3 linked regions of the Saccharomyces cerevisiae S288C genome follow. The gene in region 1 interacts genetically with each later gene. Each region holds a gene or a part of one and is shown in the gene's direction. Other genes may lie near its edges.

Region 1 (9,183 bases):
TTTAAAAAAAAGTCTAACAAATGTGACAGATTTGCTTGAACAGGGTCCAAACTCATCTTGTATATCATAACACTACATCACTGGGAGACAAAATCGAAGTGCCCACGTGCTGCTCATTCTCTAAACGGTCTGTCGCGGGCCCTTTTCGTCCTTCGGTTTCCCTCCCTTTAGACAATGGGCTCTCTTTTCTCTATTATCTATCTCTTTTTCTCGGCTTTTCCGGCCAGCGTTGAAAGCAGCGCACGGTGAGGGTAGAAGGAAGAGCAAGGACAAGTGAAGAGTAGGCCATCGTGGGGGCTTGTGTTTATAAAGAAAATACATTCAACAATTTAGTAAAACGTGTTCAAGAAGTGTTAATCAGACCAATTGGACACTACACCTTCGTAATCACAGTTTTACCTTCTAAGAAACATACAGGGAAGAAATTACTGAAGATAGACACATCGGTCGATTATGCAGTACGTAGGCAGAGCTCTTGGGTCTGTGTCTAAAACATGGTCTTCTATCAATCCGGCTACGCTATCAGGTGCTATAGATGTCATTGTAGTGGAGCATCCAGACGGAAGGCTATCATGTTCTCCCTTTCATGTGAGGTTCGGCAAATTTCAAATTCTAAAGCCATCTCAAAAGAAAGTCCAAGTGTTTATAAATGAGAAACTGAGTAATATGCCAATGAAACTGAGTGATTCTGGAGAAGCCTATTTCGTTTTCGAGATGGGTGACCAGGTCACTGATGTCCCTGACGAATTGCTTGTGTCGCCCGTGATGAGCGCCACATCAAGCCCCCCTCAATCACCTGAAACATCCATCTTAGAAGGAGGAACCGAGGGTGAAGGTGAAGGTGAAAATGAAAATAAGAAGAAGGAAAAGAAAGTGCTAGAGGAACCAGATTTTTTAGATATCAATGACACTGGAGATTCAGGCAGTAAAAATAGTGAAACTACAGGGTCGCTTTCTCCTACTGAATCCTCTACAACGACACCACCAGATTCAGTTGAAGAGAGGAAGCTTGTTGAGCAGCGTACAAAGAACTTTCAGCAAAAACTAAACAAAAAACTCACTGAAATCCATATACCCAGTAAACTTGATAACAATGGCGACTTACTACTAGACACTGAAGGTTACAAGCCAAACAAGAATATGATGCATGACACAGACATACAACTGAAGCAGTTGTTAAAGGACGAATTCGGTAATGATTCAGATATTTCCAGTTTTATCAAGGAGGACAAAAATGGCAACATCAAGATCGTAAATCCTTACGAGCACCTTACTGATTTATCTCCTCCAGGTACGCCTCCAACAATGGCCACAAGCGGATCAGTTTTAGGCTTAGATGCAATGGAATCAGGAAGTACTTTGAATTCGTTATCTTCTTCACCTTCTGGTTCCGATACTGAGGACGAAACATCATTTAGCAAAGAACAAAGCAGTAAAAGTGAAAAAACTAGCAAGAAAGGAACAGCAGGGAGCGGTGAGACCGAGAAAAGATACATACGAACGATAAGATTGACTAATGACCAGTTAAAGTGCCTAAATTTAACTTATGGTGAAAATGATCTGAAATTTTCCGTAGATCACGGAAAAGCTATTGTTACGTCAAAATTATTCGTTTGGAGGTGGGATGTTCCAATTGTTATCAGTGATATTGATGGCACCATCACAAAATCGGACGCTTTAGGCCATGTTCTGGCAATGATAGGAAAAGACTGGACGCACTTGGGTGTAGCCAAGTTATTTAGCGAGATCTCCAGGAATGGCTATAATATACTCTATCTAACTGCAAGAAGTGCTGGACAAGCTGATTCCACGAGGAGTTATTTGCGATCAATTGAACAGAATGGCAGCAAACTACCAAATGGGCCTGTGATTTTATCACCCGATAGAACGATGGCTGCGTTAAGGCGGGAAGTAATACTAAAAAAACCTGAAGTCTTTAAAATCGCGTGTCTAAACGACATAAGATCCTTGTATTTTGAAGACAGTGATAACGAAGTGGATACAGAGGAAAAATCAACACCATTTTTTGCCGGCTTTGGTAATAGGATTACTGATGCTTTATCTTACAGAACTGTGGGGATACCTAGTTCAAGAATTTTCACAATAAATACAGAGGGTGAGGTTCATATGGAATTATTGGAGTTAGCAGGTTACAGAAGCTCCTATATTCATATCAATGAGCTTGTCGATCATTTCTTTCCACCAGTCAGCCTTGATAGTGTCGATCTAAGAACTAATACTTCCATGGTTCCTGGCTCCCCCCCTAATAGAACGTTGGATAACTTTGACTCAGAAATTACTTCAGGTCGCAAAACGCTATTTAGAGGCAATCAGGAAGAGAAATTCACAGACGTAAATTTTTGGAGAGACCCGTTAGTCGACATCGACAACTTATCGGATATTAGCAATGATGATTCTGATAACATCGATGAAGATACTGACGTATCACAACAAAGCAACATTAGTAGAAATAGGGCAAATTCAGTCAAAACCGCCAAGGTCACTAAAGCCCCGCAAAGAAATGTGAGCGGCAGCACAAATAACAACGAAGTTTTAGCCGCTTCGTCTGATGTAGAAAATGCGTCTGACCTGGTGAGTTCCCATAGTAGCTCAGGATCCACGCCCAATAAATCTACAATGTCCAAAGGGGACATTGGAAAACAAATATATTTGGAGCTAGGTTCTCCACTTGCATCGCCAAAACTAAGATATTTAGACGATATGGATGATGAAGACTCCAATTACAATAGAACTAAATCAAGGAGAGCATCTTCTGCAGCCGCGACTAGTATCGATAAAGAGTTCAAAAAGCTCTCTGTGTCAAAGGCCGGCGCTCCAACAAGAATTGTTTCAAAGATCAACGTTTCAAATGACGTACATTCACTTGGGAATTCAGATACCGAATCACGAAGGGAGCAAAGTGTTAATGAAACAGGGCGCAATCAGCTACCCCACAACTCAATGGACGATAAAGATTTGGATTCAAGAGTAAGCGATGAATTCGATGACGATGAATTCGACGAAGATGAATTCGAAGATTAAAGATTCTTGTAGCCGAATATTATTTATAACGATCCATACTGCATATTAAGTAAAATTATGAAGTACTAAGTAACAATTTTTCAATTTTATTTAAGAAAAGAGAAGGAAAAAAAAAAGAAGAAAATTTTTTGATAGAAGAAAAAGGTAAACGATGATTGTTACGTACCAAGTGTTCTTCTGAGCTATTTGGTAATTACATACTTCTTCGAAATGTCAAGGTAAATACTTTTCTATACGCACACGAAACTCGCTTGCTGCAACAGGTATTACGTCAGGTGAAAAAAGCGGCCAAGAGGCAATGCCGAAATACAATGCGTGTATAACAGGAAGAGGAGGGGTATAATAAAATCACCATAGTAGAAAAGACCAGAAAGATTTCTATTGCAATCCTGTGTGACTCTTTTGGTTTTTCCCTTTGGTATCTCCCGGTTCTTTTGTCAATTTTTCGTTAAACTGCAGTGAAATAAGAAAAAGGTGCATGATAAAGATATGGATAACACGACCAATATTAATACAAATGAGCGCTCTAGTAACACGGATTTTAGCTCAGCTCCCAATATCAAAGGTTTGAATAGCCATACTCAGTTGCAGTTTGATGCGGATTCTCGAGTTTTCGTTTCGGATGTAATGGCTAAGAACTCTAAGCAATTATTGTACGCCCATATTTATAACTATTTAATCAAAAACAATTACTGGAACTCTGCCGCAAAATTTTTAAGCGAAGCTGACCTTCCTTTATCTAGAATAAACGGATCTGCTTCGGGTGGGAAAACTAGCTTGAACGCCAGCCTGAAGCAGGGATTAATGGATATTGCATCTAAGGGTGACATTGTTAGTGAAGATGGGCTATTACCTTCGAAAATGCTGATGGACGCTAATGACACGTTTTTACTGGAATGGTGGGAAATTTTTCAATCATTGTTCAATGGAGACCTAGAATCTGGGTACCAACAGGATCATAATCCTTTAAGAGAGAGAATAATACCAATTTTGCCAGCTAATTCTAAATCTAATATGCCTTCCCATTTCTCTAATCTCCCACCAAATGTGATTCCACCAACTCAAAATAGTTTTCCAGTTTCAGAGGAGAGTTTTAGGCCCAATGGTGACGGAAGTAACTTTAATTTAAACGATCCAACCAATCGAAACGTCTCCGAAAGATTTCTATCGAGAACTTCCGGTGTCTACGACAAACAGAATAGCGCTAATTTTGCACCTGATACTGCTATAAACAGTGATATTGCTGGGCAGCAGTACGCAACTATAAATCTACATAAACACTTCAATGATTTGCAATCACCAGCACAGCCCCAGCAATCATCTCAACAGCAGATCCAGCAGCCTCAGCATCAACCCCAGCATCAACCGCAACAGCAACAGCAACAGCAACAACAACAACAACAACAGCAACAGCAACAGCAACAGCAACAGCAGCAACAGCAACAGCAACAGCAACAACATCAACAGCAGCAACAGACACCGTATCCTATTGTCAACCCACAAATGGTCCCTCATATTCCATCGGAAAATTCTCATTCAACCGGACTTATGCCTTCAGTGCCTCCTACAAATCAACAATTTAATGCACAAACCCAATCTTCAATGTTTTCAGACCAGCAGCGCTTCTTTCAATATCAATTACACCACCAAAATCAAGGACAGGCGCCATCTTTTCAGCAAAGCCAATCTGGCAGGTTTGATGACATGAACGCTATGAAAATGTTTTTTCAGCAGCAAGCACTACAGCAAAATTCACTACAGCAAAATCTTGGAAATCAAAATTATCAATCTAATACACGTAACAATACTGCGGAAGAAACTACGCCCACAAATGACAATAACGCAAATGGCAATAGTTTATTGCAAGAACACATACGAGCCCGCTTCAATAAGATGAAAACAATTCCTCAACAAATGAAAAATCAAAGCACTGTCGCAAATCCGGTTGTTAGTGATATAACATCTCAACAGCAGTACATGCATATGATGATGCAAAGAATGGCGGCTAACCAGCAATTACAAAATAGTGCCTTTCCTCCAGACACTAATCGTATAGCGCCAGCTAACAACACTATGCCATTACAACCAGGAAATATGGGGTCTCCTGTCATTGAAAATCCAGGTATGAGGCAGACTAATCCATCCGGACAAAACCCTATGATCAATATGCAGCCCTTATATCAAAATGTTTCTTCCGCAATGCATGCGTTCGCTCCGCAACAACAATTTCATCTACCACAACATTATAAAACCAATACTTCAGTACCACAAAATGATTCTACCTCCGTCTTTCCTTTGCCTAACAATAACAATAACAATAACAACAACAACAATAATAATAATAATAATAATAGTAATAATAGTAATAATAATAATAATAATAATAATAATAATAATAATAGTAATAATACACCCACAGTATCACAACCATCATCAAAATGTACTTCTAGCTCCAGCACAACTCCTAATATAACTACAACAATTCAACCCAAGCGGAAACAGAGAGTGGGTAAAACAAAGACCAAGGAATCAAGAAAAGTTGCTGCAGCTCAGAAAGTTATGAAATCTAAGAAACTGGAACAAAATGGTGATTCAGCTGCTACAAACTTCATCAATGTCACTCCAAAGGACAGTGGCGGTAAGGGTACCGTAAAAGTTCAAAACAGTAACTCGCAGCAACAACTAAATGGCTCTTTTTCTATGGATACAGAAACATTCGACATATTTAACATTGGTGACTTTTCTCCTGATCTAATGGATAGCTAAAACCTATTAAACAACAAAAAGTGTTTCATCGTCATTCTTCCAATACTAACCGTTGCATCTTTTCTTTCATATGAGTAGTATGTTTCTAATTTGAATCTTTAAGAAAATTGTTTGTCTGTATTTGTCGGAACGATTTTTGGGATCATCGTTCAGTGCAGGTGTATCGTTTCTCAAATGAAGTGTGAAACTTACTTCTCACTTAGGTTTTCAAAATAATGGCATATAAAGATGGTCTAACATCTATACATATTTTTGACCAAGCAGGAGTCAATCGTTAGAGTAAGTGAGTATATCAGTTTAGTTATTTTAAATTAGACAATGTAATGGAGGGGTGCCAGTGACACTATATAAAATAAAAAAAAAATTTGCATCTGGTGCGCAATAGCGTTCTTGTAACCAAATTTCTATTCCGGTCGAATTTAAACTAGCAAGAAAATAGGTAAGCAAGCTATCTGGCCAGCTAAAAAGACGGTGCCTCAAAGTTTTCGGAATTTTTATATTTAATTCCTAACATATTTAGAGAAATGTAGCATACTCTTTATACAGAATTCTCCAACTTACTATGGTTTCGTGGTCTAGTCGGTTATGGCATCTGCTTAACACGCAGAACGTCCCCAGTTCGATCCTGGGCGAAATCATTTTTTTGAAGACATCCCGCATGAAAACATCAAAACGTAAATAAAAACACTTGATCTGAAAATAAACTAAACATTCATCTTCACCCAATATCATAAATGATTAGGTGACTACCGGATACTAGACGGTTATAGGAGTTTTATCAAAGGTCAAAATCTCACCCCCTCAATAACTGCTCGGCATACCTCACGCTTATTGCAACAAGTTTGTTTTTACTTACTTGTGAAACGTTTGTTGATTAACTTAATAATGACAACAAACTCACGTCCATCCGCCTTGCAGGCTCCCGGTTTACAGATTTTTTCCATGCTGAAATCAAGCGAAGAGGATGGATTCATGAGTTCTAGTCTAACCCTTGATAGTGATAACATAATAGGTGTCACCGAGAACAATCGTCAAGAATTTTACTCTACGTGGCGAAAACCGTCCCTATTAAGCAGCCGCAGCGTATTACATGAATACTCCCCTACAATTGTGGGATCTAATGACTGTACTTTTTCACCTATAACCGTAGGAAAAACAACGAAGTTTTTTAATTGGGATGATATTATTTCAAGAATTTTCATGCAACAGCCATTCGGTGTAACACACCAATTCTTTGAAGAATTTCGGTATTCAATCATTACTTCTCATTTTTTGAATGATATGAATCATTACAGGTTATCACTACATCTTGATCAATCTATTATGAACTTTCATAAAAGCTCAACTTTGTTAAAGAATGTACCTCCCAAATCTGTACCATTTATGGCGACAAAATATGGTAAATTGGCGGTAGCAGAGGACAAAAAATTATATTTCAGACAAAATTTCAACTACCTTTCGATGATTATAACCTCTTATCGAGTACTTACACAGTTGAAAAAATACTGTAGAAAAAAAAATAGTCCAGGTCTGAAGAGAGTTGTAATTTTAATACTCGTAGCAGTGTATTTATCAATTCAGCAAGAATACTTTCGAAGACATTTGATTTGCTATAAAACCTTATTAAAGGTACGGAAAGTGCTCGAATCATTACAACAAGTGGATGTAATGATTCATAAATATCATCTTCGATTTAAAGAAATAAAAAATCATAGTTTTATATCAAGAGTGTCTCTTATTTCAATTGCTGACGAGCACTCATCTGTGATAAAAGAGCTCCTAGTATTCTCAAGTGATGCACTGTTTTATAAACTCAAATCAATCATTCCAGATATTGTCATCTTTAGCGATACAAGTGAGCTATCGAAATACTGTGAATTATACGGTATCGATGTACCAAATCTTTACTATAATAATACTACCACAGTAAAAGACCTTGATGGTAAGCTTTATCGTCTCAAACTGCTAAAGAAATTTATGCTCTGTTGTTTGCTGTCTTTAGATATGACAGGAAACGAAAATCTTTCAAATGTAAACATGAGAAACGCACTAAACAAAATCTTTCCAGATTACATGGCAAGGGTGCAACTCAAAAAAAAATATAATCCAATAGGTACATTCCAAAATATAGTTAGTCTATTAAGAGGATTACATTCACTACTCTCCACTGTCCTGGTGTCTTTGAATGACCATAAGCAAATATTGTATGCATTTCCTGAAGAAACATCAACTAATACTGGTTGTGAAAGAGCAAATGTATGTTCATTTTCAAAGAATGATAAATTGTTTCAGGCACTTAATTACTTAAAAATGATCGAGAACAATCTATTAGCTATTGACATTCGAAATGGCATAACAGAGAATGATAGGAACATCATTGAGGATAAGTTGGAGGAGCTCATTACTTTCTGGAAAACCTCGAAAATTTGTGGCAATATTTCTAGGATACAAAAGGTATCCCCAACCAATACAATCAACCATGGTTTCCATCTGGATATCCTCAAAGGCAGAAAGTCACCCCGTTCTTCGTCAGTACAAGGTCTTAGCTTAGAGAGGAAAGTTGACTTCATTGATGTTGCTGAATCGGTGAATGACTCTTTTGAAAACGACACCGAACTAGAGGAATATGAAGACTACGACTGTCAGGAGGAATGTTCTGCCGGTTCACGCCAAAATCACCGCGTAGATTTTATCGGAAAGGATAGTTGTAGGAAACCAGATTTCAAGCAACTTTCTGACAACGAATTACGACGCAAGTTAGATGAAAGAATTTTGAAATTGGCTCAAGAAAACCGTGAAGGCAGGGAAAGGCTAAGAACTGCAAAGTCCTTTGAATTGCTAAGAAAAGCTCAGGCTTCCATGTCCGTAAAGTTTGGCTTTCAAAAACCATTAAGAGACGATGCCTTTCTTGAGAGCAGGCCTCTCAGCAAATGCAAAGTATCTTCGGAAGAAACTATCCCATTTTTGTATGAATTAAAAGGATTACTAGGAAATGATTCATGATAATATATTTTAATATGTACTTTGAAATAACTAATTACACTTTAATCATATTTTCTAAATAAGCAAATGACGGGCTGCGCAGCCGGGTTATTTTCGACCCCAGTCTGTCAAGTGCTTTAAGTAAGCGAATATTTAACAAAGAAGAATTCAATATTGCAGGAAGTCTTGAGAAAAGATCAAGTGCCAAATTACCCCATTGCTTTTGGACTATTCATTCACTCTTTTCTTTTTTGTTATTTCTTTTATTTGACCTTTATCGTTATATACACATAGCTTCCATACAGCAAATAAACATCCTAATTGAAGTAGATAATTTAATTCCATTCTTTATTAAAAAGAAAAAAATATTATGGGCATAGCTGATGGGCAAAG
Region 2 (3,587 bases), on another chromosome or scaffold:
CTGCCAGCGAATTCGACTCTGCAATTGCTCAAGACAAGCTAGTTGTCGTAGATTTCTACGCCACTTGGTGCGGTCCATGTAAAATGATTGCTCCAATGATTGAAAAATTCTCTGAACAATACCCACAAGCTGATTTCTATAAATTGGATGTCGATGAATTGGGTGATGTTGCACAAAAGAATGAAGTTTCCGCTATGCCAACTTTGCTTCTATTCAAGAACGGTAAGGAAGTTGCAAAGGTTGTTGGTGCCAACCCAGCGGCTATTAAGCAAGCCATTGCTGCTAATGCTTAAACTCACCCAATGACCGATATATTGTGTTTCTATACTGTGTTTGTTATATATAGTTTACCTTTTTTAGACAAAAAAACAGAATTATATATTATCCTTATGTTTTGTTATTTACTCGGAAGCACACAATTGCCCACCACACAAAGGAGGTGGAGGAAACAATTAATTTTTCACACAAGAGGTATATATTTGGAGAAAAATGAAGAATGAGATACTTTTCTTCCGATTACTTAAGTATTACGGCTCTGAAATTTTCTCGAGCATTAGATGATTAAATCAAAATGACATAGTATTTCGCAACCTTTCAGTTGGGCTTTGTTTAAGAAGTGGAATACTTTTGCTTGAGTTGTTTAGTTTTATTTTATCCACTGTTGTCTTAACAAATATTTTCAAGACCGGTAAGCCGAAGATGAAAAATCATTATTAACTCATTTTTTGAACAAAAATATAAACAAAAGAAAGGCAACGCACAATTTTAGAGATACATAAAACGCAGTGGATGTTAAAAATAACAGCGGTACAGAAACGCCTGTCTCGCTCCAATAATAATTATACAAATTTGAAACCGAACGCAATGTGCCAAGAAATGTAAACACACTATAGAAAAAAATAGAACGGTGCACATTGTGCTAGCATATCTGCTTGGTTCTGAACAAGAAGCACCTGGCCACTTTCTCCTAGCCCAATTCTTGCCAAGTTTTCAACCTCAATCTTTTGTGTTTGAACAAGCATGTATGAGGGGTCAAAATTTAGTGGAGGCCGCTTACAATCCTTCTATTTCCTCTGGACCTCATTAGCCGTCTGGCCAGACCTAAGCGTCATAATCTGGAGAATTTCATTGCATGCGAGAATATGATAAGTAAGAACTTGTTTATTTATACAAGTTCCACCCACTCATACACGGCTACAATTATGACGTATAATAACGTTTCGTCTAGCCCACCTTTTTTACTTTTGACGTTTTATTTCTTTCGAGGATTTGGCCAAGAATGCCCCGAACAGCGGAAAAAATGGCGTCGCAGTTTCAGATGTATAGACTCATCTTGTAGAAAAAAGAATGCAAGAATGAAGTCTTTTCGTGGTGTTTTGAAAACACTATAAACAAACCGTCAACAAACATTTTGTATAAATATTTAGCTATATATTGAATATCTTGACCAGTAAAGCACCTTGAGAAATTGTAAGCTTGAAGAACGTACTTTGATATCCCTCCGTTTCATCATCCTATAGCTCGTCAACAAATCAAAAAAAATATGAAGATCAGTCAATTTGGCTCTTTAGCTTTCGCCCCAATTGTGCTACTACAACTGTTCATTGTTCAAGCGCAACTTCTCACAGATTCAAATGCTCAGGATTTGAATACTGCCCTTGGACAGAAAGTGCAATACACCTTTCTTGACACTGGAAATTCTAACGATCAACTACTTCATCTTCCAAGCACCACCTCTTCCAGCATTATTACTGGTTCATTAGCTGCTGCTAATTTCACCGGTTCTTCATCATCGTCGTCTATACCAAAAGTCACTTCCAGCGTCATAACATCTATAAATTACCAATCCTCAAATTCTACGGTAGTCACCCAGTTCACGCCATTGCCTTCTTCGTCGAGAAATGAAACAAAAAGCTCTCAAACAACTAATACTATAAGTTCAAGTACAAGCACAGGAGGTGTAGGTTCAGTCAAGCCATGTCTTTACTTCGTTTTAATGTTAGAAACAATCGCTTATTTGTTTTCTTAAACAAATATATTAGGTTCAAGGTCTTCGCAGGTGTAAGAAAACCCGTGGTCTCCATATTCTTAAGTATGATAAATAAAAAAAAACTTAATAAATTATTAATTGCTTCAAACCTTTTTCTTTTTTTAGTTTTTAATATTTCAAACGTTATCTTCATTGAACGCCCAAATAGGGAAAAATCCTGGCAAATTTTTTATTGCTGTCATCCAAGGCTATGCTAGAAAATTCAAGAGCTTGGATGATTTAAAAAGACACTCTCAATCGAGAAAGTTTATTCTTTGTTATTCTGCTTTACCTGATCATATTCCGGCGTATTGTTTCTAATCAAGTGATTTCGATATCCAGTTACGAACCATTTACAACATTCCTGAAAATATTGCGTATCAATGATATTTGCTCCTTCTTTCTCCCTCATTAAAAATATTCTCCTGGTAAGCTTTCTAATCAGCCACAGTTTTGCTGCCAAAACTTTAACGTCTAGTTCCAATGACGATACACTTGCCAGGTCCGCAGCTGCAGATGCAGACATGGCATTCTTCATGGAGTTTTTAAACGATTTCGACACCGCTTTTCCACAGTATACCTCATACATGATGCAAAACCATTTAACCCTACCTCAACCTGTTGCTGACTACTACTATCACATGGTTGATTTGGCCTCAACAGCAGATTTACAATCTGATATTGCTCAGAGTTTTCCGTTCACTCAATTCCAAACATTCATTACGGCCTTTCCATGGTATACCTCTTTGCTAAACAAAGCCTCCGCCACCACCATATACCTTCCCCAACACTTCATAACAGGTGAGACAGAAGCTACCATGACTAACTCATCTTATGCCAGCCAAAAAAACTCCGTTTCCAATTCTGTTCCTTTCTCGACAGCGAACGCAGGCCAGTCCATGATTTCCATGGCTAATGAAGAAAACAGTACAACAGCACTTATATCCGCATCAAACTCTTCTTCAACATCCAGAACTAGTCAATCACAGAATGGTGCCCATGCCAAAAGCTTATATTTCCCCATGGCGTTGTTCGGAATCTTTGCAGTTGCCCTTTAAGTGCCTCAACCAAATTTGACAATTTAATTCCATGGGAGGTCCGCCATCCCTTTTCGCTTTTTTTATAATATGTGTATTATTTATACAAATATGTATATAAGTATGTACTTTTTCAATGGACAATTCGATTTTAAGAGCGTTTTTAGTGACAACGATGAACATCAACTTTGTACAGTATCAAACGATTTATTTTTAACATATTATTATAACTTCTGAATGGCGTTGCCATCTTGGCCAAAATCTTGTCTTTTCTGTCGTTTTATGGCAGGCTTTTGTTCTTTGATGTTAATTCGGCAATACCGACGCCTTTGATGTTCATCAAACAGTCTGAAAAAAATACACCTAAATGCCTCTACAAAAAAAAAGGTAAGGTAAGAGTGTTATTGACCGGAAGCTGTAAGAAACTGAACACGTGGAAAATGCACTTATGGCCAGTCAGTCCGCCCCAATTGCTTAGAATTCCACCCCGCAACGCCGAATTAGGTGAGGGTACTAAAATA
Region 3 (4,797 bases), on another chromosome or scaffold:
GGGAGGTTTCACAGAAGTGAGGCACGGACGACAATGCTCATATATAGGGTACCTAATGACTTTAGACGGATTCGCAAAATCATAACACGGAGGTTCCACTGGGTACGGATCTATGCAGTAAAGCACGTTTTTGTCAGCAACATCAACATCTACTCCGGATTGTGGCTCCACTATTTCGTTCATGATGTTTGTGTTAATGTCTGTTATGCTATCGATATGGTTAAAAGTCACTTTCGGAAGCGGAGAATCCAGAATAGAATTACTAGTAGTACTGGAACAAAGAAACTCGTCGCCCATGGATATGGATGAGGCTGTCTGTGAAAGCTTCAGCCCCGTACTATCCATACCGTCGTGGTCTATTGTCATTTCAAAGATGCTGGAGGACATTTTCTGAATAGGTCCGTTTATCTCTTCTGCTGTCTGCGAAAACAACGTAAAAAAATAGTGCTTAGTGTTACTGCCTGTGTAACAACTAGTGCCAAAGTTACAAAGAAACTTCACTAACAGTTTTTGCAATTTACCAAGAAAGCACCAACAAAATAAATAAATAGCATGCCTGTATATATTACGAAAAGTCCTTCAACTACGTCTTCCACTTGCTCTATCCCTTGGCGGAAAACAGAATACATGCAAATTTTAGAGAATTTTTCAAGATGCCTGCCCCCCACATTTTCTTACTTGATCAAGAGCAGATCTGTTCCTTTGCGCAGGGGGTTGCATGGGGGAGAAACTGGCCGGAAGCAGCCGAAAGAAAGTTCGCAAAAAGATAATGGGGACAGTATTAGAGAAAACGGCGTGGAGGGGTATGGAGGAAACAGTTAGCATAGGTAACGAAAAACCGCAGCAAAATAATTCTCTCTTTTTTTCTTTTGACTTAGTTGTGGGACCCGGATCATTCGGTACTGCATCTTATTCCCGTGCCAAGGTCTCTGGGTGTTGCTGATTTCCGGGTATCCAGAGCTCTATCTGCTTCCGTACCCAGTGAGTGAGCTAAAATAAAAAAGGGGCCTCGGCGGAATTTGAATTCGGGTTACGTTTCCCACGGAGCCCCGGATAGAAAAGATTAGTTTCAGGTACATGTGTCAAATGAGGATAAATCTCAAACACCCATGTACCGAAAATCGATGTGTTGGTTATATTACAAGGTTGGAATAGACCACGGTGATAAGACGTGGAATTTTTGACTGACCATGCGACTCTGAAGGTGTTAACCGGAGGAATTCACGTAATTTACATCTCAAGAACAGCAGAACAAAGATCGAGTATATGATGAAATTTCGTTTTACATGAATAAAGTCATATTTTAACTCACTGTGCACGGATTAAGGGCTGTGATTTAGTGGGACGAGTGGTTCTACACTACTCAAGAAGTCACGCTGTCATTTGATGGAATTACAGTGCTTATTAGGAGCCGTGTAGCTTAGTGTGAATTGATGGAAGCTTTCGAGTTTCATAGAACATATCTGGTGAATGTATATGAGTTTTTCATTCCTTTTACGAGACGCAACTTTCCGCGGTTACGGAACTGTTGTTTTGTTTTACATCTTTTCATTTTTCATACATTTTATTGAGGCGTAGAAATGAAATGGGTAGAGCGGCACATGGATGTAACAATCTCCATTATTCACGTCGAGCCGATACCCGCTTCTGTTGACGCTCTGTTAAGCATAGAACCTACGAGATTTGTGCTAAAGGACGTTGGCAAGGAAGAAAACTATTGTTGATGACAGGATTTATAGCAGTAAATATTTTTTTCTTTTTTGCGAAATTATGTACGTTTCTCATCCAAGAAGAATCCTGTTAATATTTAAATTTCTGCTAGTCATTATCATATTGCAATGGCTTTTATTAGTGAAAGCCACTGTCAACAGTAACTGAGCTACTCCCTCCAATGTTGTCTAACTCTATGCTCTTTTTGGCGTCTGAATGAGCCATAACGAGGGAAATAACTGTATCAGGAATACTAACAGAATACAGATTGGATGCACTGGTGCTGGTGAGTTTTCTTTTTCTGATATTATTGGATAATATTTTCAGCTATAGACTATCATCATTCAGCATTGGTCACGCTAAAATATACGTTCCATGCATACGTGATAGCCTACTCGGTTGTCAACTTCATTTTATAGGCTGCCTGGTCACCGATTACCGCCCCGCTCAGCAGGACGGTTTAAGCTTCTGTTCTTGGAAACGACGTAATTCATGTCGGCCATCGAAATCATTCCTGGCTTTGTAATAGTCATAATGAACAAGGAATGCTGTCTTGGGTTTTTTTCCCTTTGCGAATACCCGGGCTGCCAAAATAGAAAAGGAACAAATGGTAGGTCTTTAAGATAAGAAAGATAAGATAAGACATCTTTTTTTTTTTTTTTTTTTTTTTTTTTTTTTTCCGATAACAAAGAAGAATCCTTCGGTCTCTTCTTACTGCTGTTACTGCTTATCAAGAGTGTCTGGTAATAGTCAAAGCCAGATAAGATAAGAAATGTAAAATCGACTATTTCCCTCGTAAAAAGCTTCAATTGCTCACGCATCGACGAATACTAAGCGGCGTGAAGACCCTGTGCCTTATCAATGAAGTATTCAGTACAAGAGGTGTTCATTCCGAGCCACTTTTCTGCACCATATATAAGCAGTAGTTACACATGTGCTAACCAAACATCAGTGGGTAGTAATCATTCGTGCTTTCACGTCCTTTCAAATTAAATATCCTTCTTAAATAATAAGTCTGCACAGAGCTTTGAAAGAAGTTTAGTTTTGTAATATATCATACTTAATATATTACAATACAATATCAACAATGTCTTACAATTTTACAGGTACGCCTACAGGCGAAGGAACGGGTGGTAACTCGTTGACAACAGATTTGAATACACAATTTGACTTGGCCAACATGGGATGGATCGGTGTGGCTTCAGCAGGTGTGTGGATTATGGTCCCAGGTATCGGTTTATTATATTCTGGTTTATCCAGGAAAAAGCATGCTTTATCCTTGCTTTGGGCCTCGATGATGGCTTCCGCCGTGTGTATTTTCCAATGGTTTTTCTGGGGATACTCATTAGCTTTCTCACACAACACTAGAGGTAACGGTTTTATTGGTACCTTGGAATTCTTTGGGTTTCGTAACGTTTTAGGAGCCCCATCTAGTGTCAGTTCTCTTCCCGATATACTGTTTGCCGTTTACCAAGGTATGTTTGCCGCAGTCACCGGTGCCCTAATGCTAGGTGGTGCCTGCGAGAGGGCAAGGTTGTTTCCTATGATGGTGTTCTTGTTTTTATGGATGACTATTGTTTATTGTCCTATTGCATGCTGGGTCTGGAATGCCGAGGGTTGGTTGGTCAAATTGGGTAGCTTGGACTATGCAGGTGGTTTATGTGTCCATTTAACATCTGGACATGGTGGTCTAGTTTACGCTTTGATACTGGGTAAGCGTAATGACCCTGTTACACGTAAAGGGATGCCCAAGTACAAACCACATTCCGTCACCTCGGTGGTTTTAGGCACAGTGTTCTTATGGTTTGGTTGGATGTTCTTTAACGGAGGCTCTGCAGGTAATGCAACTATACGAGCATGGTACTCTATTATGTCCACAAACTTAGCTGCTGCTTGCGGTGGCTTGACATGGATGGTTATCGATTATTTCAGATGCGGAAGAAAGTGGACTACAGTTGGTTTGTGTTCAGGTATCATCGCTGGCCTAGTGGGTATCACCCCAGCCGCCGGGTTCGTGCCAATCTGGTCAGCCGTTGTCATTGGTGTGGTTACTGGTGCAGGATGTAACCTTGCTGTTGACTTAAAGAGTCTATTGCGCATCGATGATGGTCTAGATTGTTACTCTATCCATGGTGTGGGTGGTTGTATTGGTTCTGTATTAACTGGTATCTTTGCTGCAGACTATGTAAATGCCACTGCAGGCTCTTACATTAGTCCAATTGATGGTGGCTGGATCAATCATCACTATAAACAAGTTGGTTATCAATTAGCAGGTATATGCGCTGCACTAGCCTGGACTGTTACTGTCACATCTATCTTGCTTCTAACTATGAATGCCATTCCATTTTTAAAACTAAGATTAAGTGCTGATGAGGAAGAATTAGGTACCGACGCTGCTCAAATTGGTGAATTTACATACGAGGAATCCACTGCTTACATCCCAGAACCAATCAGATCTAAAACATCGGCACAAATGCCACCTCCTCATGAAAACATTGATGATAAGATTGTGGGTAACACAGACGCAGAAAAGAATTCTACGCCTTCCGACGCTTCTTCTACTAAGAACACTGACCATATAGTATAATGATATACTCAAGCAGACTATGATTTTATGTTTAATCTTTATGTAACGCTTCATTTAATAATTTTATTTTTAATATTTGATATATTTTCTTTTTTTGATAACTCCGAATGATGAGGGGAGACGTTAGTATTACTTCTCTTGTCTTATGTTATTATCATAATCGATGACTTTAACTGTGCACACTATAATATACAGCATCTCCAGAGCATGATAGCAAGAAATTTTCTTTAAGAAAGCCTCTATATACCCTATATATGCTGTTAACAGGAAAAGAGCACAAGGTTTATTTTGCTTTGGTTGCAAATTTTCATCGCTTATAGAAGACATATTTTGATGTAAAAACCTTGATATACTTCCTTTTTGCCTTATCTTTCACTGTTTCCATCTCTTTTCTTTTTTTTTTTTTTTTTTTTTTTTTTTTTTTTTTTTTTTTTTGAATCTTAAAATTCTCGAAACTGCACTGAAATGGCGCAGGAAACTGACCTCATCGCATGCCAACG

Evidence for each region. A genetic interaction does not mean that the proteins touch.
Region 2: mutations in MSS11 (region 1) and AFB1 together harm fitness more than expected from each alone (negative genetic interaction), as found in Saccharomyces cerevisiae (2 studies listed by BioGRID).
Region 3: of MSS11 (region 1) and MEP2, extra expression of one rescues a mutant of the other (dosage rescue), as found in Saccharomyces cerevisiae (2 studies listed by BioGRID).

What each region holds. Positions count from the first base shown.
Region 1 is NC_001145.3:583,899-593,081, reverse strand, and holds MSS11 (Mss11p), read left to right. Parts: upstream 1-3,531; coding exon 3,532-5,808; downstream 5,809-9,183. Other genes in the region: phosphatidate phosphatase PAH1, read left to right, coding at 454-3,042; INP2 (Inp2p), read left to right, coding at 6,694-8,811; aminophospholipid-translocating P4-type ATPase DNF3, read left to right, coding at 9,161-9,183. UniProt on the Saccharomyces cerevisiae protein: Transcription factor that regulates pseudohyphal differentiation, invasive growth, floculation, adhesion and starch metabolism in response to nutrient availability.
Region 2 is NC_001144.5:228,408-231,994, reverse strand, and holds AFB1 (Afb1p), read left to right. Parts: upstream 1-2,412; coding exon 2,413-3,087; downstream 3,088-3,587. Other genes in the region: thioredoxin TRX1, read left to right, coding at 1-293; NFG1 (Nfg1p), read left to right, coding at 1,544-2,029; RIC1 (Ric1p), read left to right, coding at 3,399-3,587. UniProt on the Saccharomyces cerevisiae protein: MATalpha-specific protein that interferes with a-factor, the pheromone secreted by MATa cells. Contributes to mating efficiency.
Region 3 is NC_001146.8:354,656-359,452, forward strand, and holds MEP2 (ammonium permease MEP2), read left to right. Parts: upstream 1-2,797; coding exon 2,798-4,297; downstream 4,298-4,797. Other genes in the region: MPF1 (Mpf1p), read right to left, coding at 1-387; YNL143C (uncharacterized protein), read right to left, coding at 2,139-2,531. UniProt on the Saccharomyces cerevisiae protein: Transporter for ammonium (both charged and uncharged NH3 and NH4) to use as a nitrogen source. The affinity of MEP2 is about twenty times higher than that of MEP1. MEP3 has the lowest affinity.